2 linked regions of the Callithrix jacchus genome follow. The protein of the gene in region 1 interacts with the protein of each later gene in a pairwise test. Links are inferred from orthologs where the notes say so. Each region holds a gene or a part of one and is shown on either strand. Other genes may lie near its edges. The genes, in order: EIF3G and MIF4GD.

Region 1 (4,316 bases):
ACTCCTGACCTTAAGAGATCTGCCCACTTTGGCCTCTCAAAGTGCTGGGATTACAGCTGTGAGCCACTGAGCCCCACATTGTCAGTTTTTTTTTTTGTTGTTGTTCATTATCAGCCTCCTTAGGAGAAAACCCAAATTATTCTAAAATTGAATTTAAATCAACCAAGTTAGTTTCAGTTTAATTAGTTACTATCTCCCTAAAGGCAGAAACTAAATACTTAGGAATAAGATGGGGCCAGGCGTGGTGGCTCACGCCTGTAATCCAAGCACTTTGGAGGCCAAGTTGGGCGGATCACCTGAGGTTGGGAGTTCACGACCAGCCTGACCAACATGGTGAAACCCCGTCTTGAAAAAAAAAAAAAAAAAAAGAATAAGATGTTGTCTGATAGAGCTGGCTTTGGAAGACCACAATATCTTAGTTTTTTTCCCCCTCGCTGAAAACCAGTTTTTGCTCCTGGGGAGTCATCATGAATCACTCCAGCTGAGGATGGTTGTTCTTAGAGCAAGGAGCTGAGCAATAAGCAAGTAAATGCACAAAATTATACCGGAAAGCCAAGAACACTACAACGAAAAGGAGGAGGAGTGGCTCATCGGGCCCCTTGACATCTGAATCTGTGGGATTGGGAAAGAAGGCAAGGAACAGTTTGCAGAAGGACTGTTTTCCCTGAGCCTCGGCTTTTTGTTTTTGTTTTTGTTTTTTCTTTCTTTTTCTTTTTTAGAGATGGTGGTGGGTGTGTGTCGGGGTGGTGGTGGTGGGGTTCTCACCCTGTTGCCCAGGCTAGCTACTCTCGAACTCCTGGCCTCAAGCAACCCCCATGCCTCAGTCTCAAAGTGCGGGGTTACAGGCGTGTGACACCTCACCCAGTCTCAGCCTCAGTTTCTTGAGCTGTAAAATTGCAATAATATCCTCCTCACCCTGCTTCATATACAATAAGCACTCGATCAGTGAACCTTGTTGTTATTATATCATTTTCTTTAACTTATTTTTCTGAGATGGAGTCTCACTCTGTAGCCCAGACTGGAATGCAGTGACGCGGTCTCGCCTCACTGCGGCCTCTGCCTCCCGGTTTAAGCGATTGTCCCGCCTCAGCCTCCGGAGTAGCTGGGACTACGAGTGCATGCTACCACACCCGGTTAATTTTTGTAGTTTTACTAGAAACGGGGTTTCACCATGTTGGCCAGGATGGTCTCGATCTCCTGACCTCGTGATCTGTCCGTCTCGGCCTCCCAAAGTGCTGGGATTACAGGCTTCAGCCACCGCGCCCGGCTTATTTTGGTTTTTAAAGGGTAGTAGGAGCAGCAGTGAAATCAGCCTCTACGCCCCCACCGCCCTTCCGCGCTCCCTGCTCTGGTACCAGCAGCTCCCAGCAGCATACACAGCCGCGTGCGCCTCCACCTCCGTCCGCAGGTGTCGCTGTGGATGCCGCGGCCGGCCCCACTAGGCGGTGTCCGCGGAACCGGAAGTCTCCTTTTACACCCACTTCCGCTCTCTAGCCCGGGCTTGGGCTGCGTGGAGAGCCCTTTTGCGATGCCTACTGGAGATTTTGAGTGAGTTGGGGATCACGGAAGCGGGTACGGGAGGCGGTTACAGGGCTCTGGGAAGTATTATGGGGCCTGGGTGCGCCGAGGCCGCGGGGGCTTGGCCTGGCTGACTTAATCTTAGCTCCCCACACACTTGTTTCCGCAGTTCGAAGCCCAGCTGGGCCGACCAGGTGGAAGAGGAGGGAGAGGACGGTAAGTGAATCCGTTTGCCCCAGGTCATCGCGGCCAGGCCCGAGCCGGTTCACTGCTGCCTGTTTCCATCTCCCAGACTGGCACCGTGTTCGCCGTCACGGCCAGCCCCTGCCCCGCGCCTTCATCCTTGGGGCTCGCCTGTTGCCAACTCCAGATGTTCCTTGGCAGGTCCCTCTTCCTCCCATGCCATTGCGCTAGCCCTCCCAGCTGTTCCCTTACTCCAGGGAGACAATTGTAATCTCCTGTCTCCTGTTTCTCTCTGGCGCCTGGATGGCTTCATGGCGTGGCCCCCACCTTCCTACGAGGGATTCCCCCATCCTGGCCACTCCGCGTCCCCACAGGGCCATCCCAGTGTACTACCTGGCCAGTCCTCTGCCCTTGGCCTGCCTTTCTCAGCTTTTGCTGTAGGCGTCATCCCAAAGGCCCTTCCATCTCAGCTGGGGAGCTCCTGCCCCTGGAGCTGACCCCTTCTCCCCACGCTGCTTCTCGCAGACAAATGTGTCACCAGCGAGCTCCTCAAAGGGATCCCTCTGGCCACCGGCGACACCAGCCCAGAGCCGGAGCTGCTGCCGGGAGGTGAGTGAGGACTGCCACTCCGTTCCGGGCTGCCTCTCCCTCCAGCCGTGCCGCTCCTGATGCCCGTGACCCAGGGCTCAGTTTCTTGCTCTTTTTCCCCTTCTCCAGCTCCACTGCCGCCTCCCAAGGAGGTCATCAACGGAAACATAAAGACAGTGACGGAGTACAAGATAGATGAGGATGGCAAGAAGTTCAAGGTGAGGGTGGGAGGGGGCAAGGAGTGAGGACCCTTTTCCTTGGGGACCCTGAGACCAGAAGAGGTTGGGGTGTGTTGAGTGGGTTGATAAAGGAGCTCCTTTGGTTCCAGGAGCCTGACCCTTCTCCTCTCCCATCCTCAGATTGTCCGCACCTTCAGGATTGAGACCCGGAAGGCTTCAAAGGCTGTCGCAAGGAGGAAGGTGAGATCCTCCTTCCCCAGGGATAACACAGAGGAATTGGAAAACTGTGTTCCCTGGACCTTTGTTTTTAAGAGATGGGACTTAACTCTGTACCTGTTGTGAGTCTGAACTGAGCCTTGGGTTCTTGTATTCTTATGGGGTCTTGAAAAGTTCAGGGCACAGGAGTTGATGATGATGCACAGTAAAAATGTTCAATGATGGGCAGGGGTGCAGTGAAAGTAGCCATGTGTGGTGGTGTGCACCTATAATCCCAGCTACGGGGCAGGCTAAGGCAGAAGAATTGCTTGAATCTGGGAGACGGAGGTTGCAGTTAGCTGAGGTTGCACCATTGCACTCCAGCCTGGGTGACAGAGTGAGACTGCATCTCACCAAAAAAAAAAAAAAAGTTTGATGATAAATATCGAATGATAGTAATATCAAATAAATTAGATTAAAAATATTGTAAGTTAGATTCTTTTATTTTTTTTTTAAAGACACAGGGTCCAGTCCTGTTGCCCAGTCTTGAGGGCAGTGGCACAGTCAGAGCTTACTGCAGCCTTACACTCCCAGGTTCAAGCCATCCTCCCACCTCACCCTGCTGAGTAGCTGGGGTTACAGGTGTGCACCGCCACACCGGGCTAATTTTAAGTTTTTGTAGAGGTAAGGTTTCTCTATGTTGATCAGGCTGGTCTCCAGTTCCTGGGCTCAAGAGCTTCCACCTTCACCTCGCAAAGTGCTGGGATTACAGGAGGGAGCCCCTGCGACCAGCTGTGGTTAGATTTTTTATTCCTCTTAGCCTGTCAATGGAGGAATGGAGCCAGAAGGTGGTCACAGCAGTTTCTGGAAGAAGTGATATCAATTAATACACTTGGGACAGTTTGCTGTGCGCTTAGTTTGTACCATACCTCATGCCAGCCACCTGGCAGGGTGTTTCTCATTTGATGTCCTTAGAAGCCCAGGGAGGTAGGAAGCTTTTGTGGTTCCTGTTTTACAAGGGAGGAAGCCAAGGCTCAGGCTGGGTAGCTCAAAGGCCTGGAGGTCTGGGTGGAGCCCCTTCACATCCCTGAATATTGAACCCTAGTGGGAGCTTGTCCGCCAACATGAACAGGCCCCAGGCTGTGTAGCTCTCACCTGGGGCCCAATGCTGACAGCTGCCCTGCCTCCTGGAGCTCAGGCCTGGCGGGGACTCAGGCAATAGGAACTGTCAACAGAACTGTTCAGGGAGTGGTTGAGGAGGATGAAAATGAGGTTCAAGGCCCAGACACTCCGGGGAAGGCTGTAGGTCCGGGACACCCCACTGTGGAACCCTGCCTGCCCCTGCCCTCAATTGTCCCCCATTCCTCCCTGAGCCCAGAACTGGAAGAAGTTTGGAAACTCAGAGTTTGACCCCCCAGGGCCCAATGTGGCCACCACCACTGTCAGTGACGATGTCTCTATGACGTTCATCACCAGCAAGGAGGTAAGCAGGGCAACCAGACTGGGCTGGGGTCCTGGGGTGGTGGCAAATGGGGTGCCTCAGCCACCTCTTTGAATTCCCCCAAACCTGCCCCTGCCAGGACCTGAACTGCCAGGAGGAGGAGGACCCCATGAACAAACTCAAGGGGCAGAAGATCGTGTCCTGCCGCATCT
Region 2 (4,289 bases), on another chromosome or scaffold:
TGTGGGGTTGCTTTCACCTGGGGGGAGCTCTCCATTCTGCCTCCCTCTCCAGCCCTGTGTCTGGTGTGGGTCCTGGGCTCCTTTTAGCACCATCCTTCCCTGCCTCTGGTCTGGGATTTTTGGGTCTGTCTGGGCCCTGAATGCTGGGGCTTCTTGGCTCTGTGCTGCTGGTTCCCAAGGTCCAGGCTGTGGTGGAGTCCGCGGGGATGCAGCTGCCTGAATGTATTTTTTATCTTTATTTTTGATACAGAGTCTCGCTCTTGTTGCCCAAGCTGGAGTGTAATGGCGCAATCTCGGCTCACCAAAACCTCCGCCTCCCGGGTTCAAGCGATTCTCCGGCCTCAGTCTCCTGAGTAGCTGGGATTACAGGCATGTGCTACCATGCTCGGCCACTTTTTTTATATTTTTAGTAGAGATGGGGTTTCTCCATGTTGGTCAGGTTGGTCTCAACCTCAGGTGATCTGCCCACCTCGGCCTCCCAAAGTGCTGGGATTACAGGTGTAAGCCGCTGTACCAGGCCGGAATGTATTTTTTATGAAATTCCGTTAAGTTTATTATCTTCCTTTCTCCTGGCCATTAGTTTCTTTTGCTGCAGCTGAGCATTCTTCTCCTCGTCCGTTTTCGGTGACCACTTTGGCGGTTCTTTTAACTGGAGGCCGCAACGCGGGCAGCGCCGGCGGCGCTTCTCCCAGTCCCGCGGCAGGAGCGGCGGCAGTTCTTCCCGCCTTCTAGGTGCCCTCCTGTCACCCAGAGCAGACGCGCCCCTTCAGGGGCACTCCCAACACCCGACGGCCGCGAGTTGCCCACGGGGCCCCCTTCTCGGGGCTGCCCCTCTGACCTGCAACTCGCTACGCCCACGTCCTCCTTGGAGAGGGAGGGGGTCGTGGCTGGCCCCGGCCCTGCAGCCCCTGCCTTCTCTACCTGGTTTGGAGGAGCGGGAAACGTGGTGTGACCAGGGCAGATACCGTCTCTCCTGCCACCGGGTCCCCACCACACTGTCTGCAGGCTTCTTCCACGCCGCGCGGCCCAGCGGTGTCTCCCGCCGCCTCACCCCCGTGCACCTGAGCTCGGGGAGGGCTGGGTGCGGGGCCACGCGCAAGACTGAGGAGCTGGCGGGTCCGGCGTGGGCCCGGGCAGGGCCGGGGCGCACCGGGTGAGGAGGGTACGGACCCAGCGAGCTCCACCTGGCTGGGGGTGGCAGCGTCGCAGGGTCCCCCGCGTCTCCGCCGGGGCCCCACGCGGGCGACTCGGCTTCCGGGGCGGCCGGGCGGCCAGAGCAGTGCCACCGGGGGCCGGCAGGTGGCGCGGACGAGCCGGCCCTTCCCCGGCGCCGCGCGAGGAGATGAGATCACGGCGGCCCCCGCAGCGCCTGACGCGAGTCGCGCGCTTTCAGCCGATAGGCGGCCCCGGGCACGCGCGCGCGCGCCGCCGGTCCGGCAGGTGGGTCCAGCTGCCCACGCCGCCTCTCCAGCCTGCAGGGACTCTGGACCTTGAGGTCCGCAGTCCGCCCTGTGCCGCCGGGAGGGGAGTTCCGGGCTCGTGGGGAGGGCTGGAGACCCCGACGGCGCCTCCTATGGCCAGAGGGGAGCCTCCGGCGGGAGCCACCTCTCGAGGGCGCATCATCCTGTGCCCCCAACCCCCGTAAGAGGAAGGATCCAGAATGGAGCTCAGGAATTAGGAGTCTCGAGTGGGTAGGGCCTGGTTGCCGCCACTTTGGGGCCGGTCCGACCAGTCTGTCCCGGGGAGAAGCTGGCAGGGTCGGGGAGTTCAGGCTGCGCCTGGCCGAGGCGGCGGACAGGGCAACCTGTCCCCATCCGCGCAGGCCGGCCCCACCCGGGAGATGCAGCAGCGGGTGTTTAGACCGAAGGACTCGGCGAAAGCCGGGAAGAGAGGGTTGGAGAGAGAGGTTTGGAGCCCTGCTGGGGACAGAGCCGCGCCGCTTGGAGTTCCCAGCCTGACCCTCACCCGGCATCATGCCGGGCCAGCAGCGTCAGGCCGGTGTCTTTAAGCAACTCTAACGTCCGCCCGCACACACCCTGCCCCAGTCCACCCCTGCCTCCTGCTGGGACTAGAGGGTGGGCGCTTTTCTGCTTCAGCTTCTCGCTCTTGTGTAATCCCACAAGCGTGGAGTTTCTAAACTGAGCAGCAGGTACCTGGCTGATGCCCAGTCCCCGCCAGAAGCCAAGCCTGGTGGGCCCTCAACCAACCACAACCATTGCACGCCACGGACTGCACAGAGCCCCTGTCCCGAGCATCGTCAGCCCTGCCCAGGGCCTGTAGGACAGAACCCTCCCTGTGCTCCACACCTGAGGTCGTTCCCTTCGCCTCTTCTCCCCAGGTGCTGTCCTTAGTCCCAGCCCGGTCAAGAGCTACCAGGGCTGGCAGGTCATGGGGGAGCCCAGTAGAGAGGAGTATAAAATCCAGTCCTTTGATGCAGAGACCCAGCAGCTGCTGAAGACAGCACTCAAAGGTGAGCACGGGAGCCCCTCCTGAGCTGGGATCAGGAGCCACAGAGAAGGGCCCCTGTGGGCAGCACCAGAGGGCTGAGCCTGGTGAATGCCTCCATCATTCTGTGATGATAGGAGTCGGCAGTGTAATTGTTGAACTGGAAGACAAGCTACATTTTAGGTCGTTATTCTGGAGTATGAGTCACAGTCACCTTTCAGACTGTAAAGACTTTTTAAAAAGCTTAACCATAGGGCCAGGCGCAGTGGCTCATGCCTGTAGTTCCAGCACTTTGGAAGGCCAACGTGGGTGGATTGCTTGAGTCCAGTAGTTCAAGAGCAGTCTGGGAAACATGGGGCAAACCCCACCTCTACAAAAAAAAAAAATTGAAAAATGAGGCCGGCATGGTGGCACATACCTGTGGTCCCAGATACTTAAGATGCTGAGGTAGGAGGACTGATTGAGCCTGGGAGGGTGAGGGTATAGGTTCCATGAGCCTGCCACTGCACTCCAGCCTGGCTAACAGAGCGAGACCCTGTCTCAAATTTTTAAAAGTTCAACCATAAAAAAAGAACACAGCTCCTACCCTTGAAGCGCTTACATTTGAATTGGCTGTTTCTGCATTGCAGTAGCCCCCTCTCTTGAATGCACAGCTGCCTGCTTTGAGACAGAAGATGGAGAATATTCCATTTGCCAGAGGAGGTATAGTTATTCCCCTGGCCCGATGCCTTCCTGCTGTAACACTCAGGACAGAAGTTTGTCTTCAACAATTAGCAAGACCCATCAAGTGCCAAGCCGAGCCTGTTGGGAGGCCCTGTGTGGCCCTCTCTAGTTGGGGATTCGTGTATGTATAGTATAAGAACACTTTTTCTTGTGAAATTGCTGTTGGAGACGTGTCCTGGTCAGTATTCCTTCCTCAGCCTAGTGCCAGGAAAAGATGCATTTCCTGAAAAACGATATTCTTATTTTGATTGGTCCCTTCCAGCCACATACCCTCCTCATTTTCTCTGACTGGGCAACCAGAAGACAGACAGCTAAAGCTGTTCATTTGTAAGGTTACTGTCTTCTATATGATTTTTTTTTTTGAGACAGTTTCGCCCTTGTTGCCCAGGCTGGAGTGCAGTAGCACGATCTCAACTCCCTGCAACCTCTGCCTCCCAGGTTTAAGTGATTCTCCTGCCTCAGCCTCCCAAGTAGCTGGGACACAGGCCCTTGCCACCATGCCTGGCCCATATTGGCCAGGCTGATCTTGAACTCCTGACCTTGTGATCCACCCGCCTCAGCCTCCCAAAGTGTTGGGATTATAGGCGTGAGCCACCGTGCCCAGCCAACTTTTTGTATTTTTGTAGAGACGGGGTTTCAAAATGTTGGCCAGGTTTCAAAATGCTGGCTCTCTGTATGAAATTCCTTTTTTTTTTTTTTTTTTCCCGAGACGGTGTCTTGCTTTGTTGCCAAGGCTGGAGTGCAGTGGTGCCATCTTGGATCACTGCAACCTCCGACTCCTGGGTTCAAGCAATTCTCCTGCCCCAGCCTCCTGAATAGCTGGGATAACATGAGATGACAGGCACAAGCCACCATGCCCAGCTAATTTTTGTAGTTTTAGTAGAGATGGGGTTTCACCATGTCAGCCAGGCTGGTATCAAACTCCTGACCTCAGGTAATCCACCCACCTCAGTCTCCCAAAATTGCTAGAATTACAGTTGTGAGTCATCGCACCTGGCCATGATTTCTAAGTACCATGCGCTAACCGATTGCACCACTGGAGCCACTGTCCTTGGTATGATTTCTGATCTTTCACTTCAAGCAGATGAGAATGCTCTCCTATAAATATCTCAACTTCTTCT

The links.
Region 2: the proteins of EIF3G (region 1) and MIF4GD interact in binary tests that used the Homo sapiens proteins (3 or more experiments, as listed by UniProt). The link is inferred for Callithrix jacchus from reciprocal best matches to the Homo sapiens genes EIF3G and MIF4GD.

What each region holds. Positions count from the first base shown.
Region 1 is NC_133523.1:9,307,700-9,312,015, reverse strand, and holds the start of EIF3G (eukaryotic translation initiation factor 3 subunit G), read left to right. Parts: upstream 1-1,485; 5' UTR 1,486-1,528; coding exon 1,529-1,548; intron 1,549-1,687; coding exon 1,688-1,734; intron 1,735-2,226; coding exon 2,227-2,310; intron 2,311-2,418; coding exon 2,419-2,507; intron 2,508-2,648; coding exon 2,649-2,708; intron 2,709-4,041; coding exon 4,042-4,146; intron 4,147-4,243; coding exon 4,244-4,316. UniProt on the Homo sapiens protein: RNA-binding component of the eukaryotic translation initiation factor 3 (eIF-3) complex, which is required for several steps in the initiation of protein synthesis.
Region 2 is NC_133506.1:131,187,866-131,192,154, reverse strand, and holds the start of MIF4GD (MIF4G domain-containing protein), read left to right. Parts: upstream 1-1,391; 5' UTR 1,392-1,440; exon of another isoform or gene 1,441-1,691; intron 1,692-2,338; 5' UTR 2,339-2,388; coding exon 2,389-2,470; intron 2,471-3,074; coding exon 3,075-3,200; intron 3,201-4,289. UniProt on the Homo sapiens protein: Functions in replication-dependent translation of histone mRNAs which differ from other eukaryotic mRNAs in that they do not end with a poly-A tail but a stem-loop. May participate in circularizing those mRNAs specifically enhancing their translation.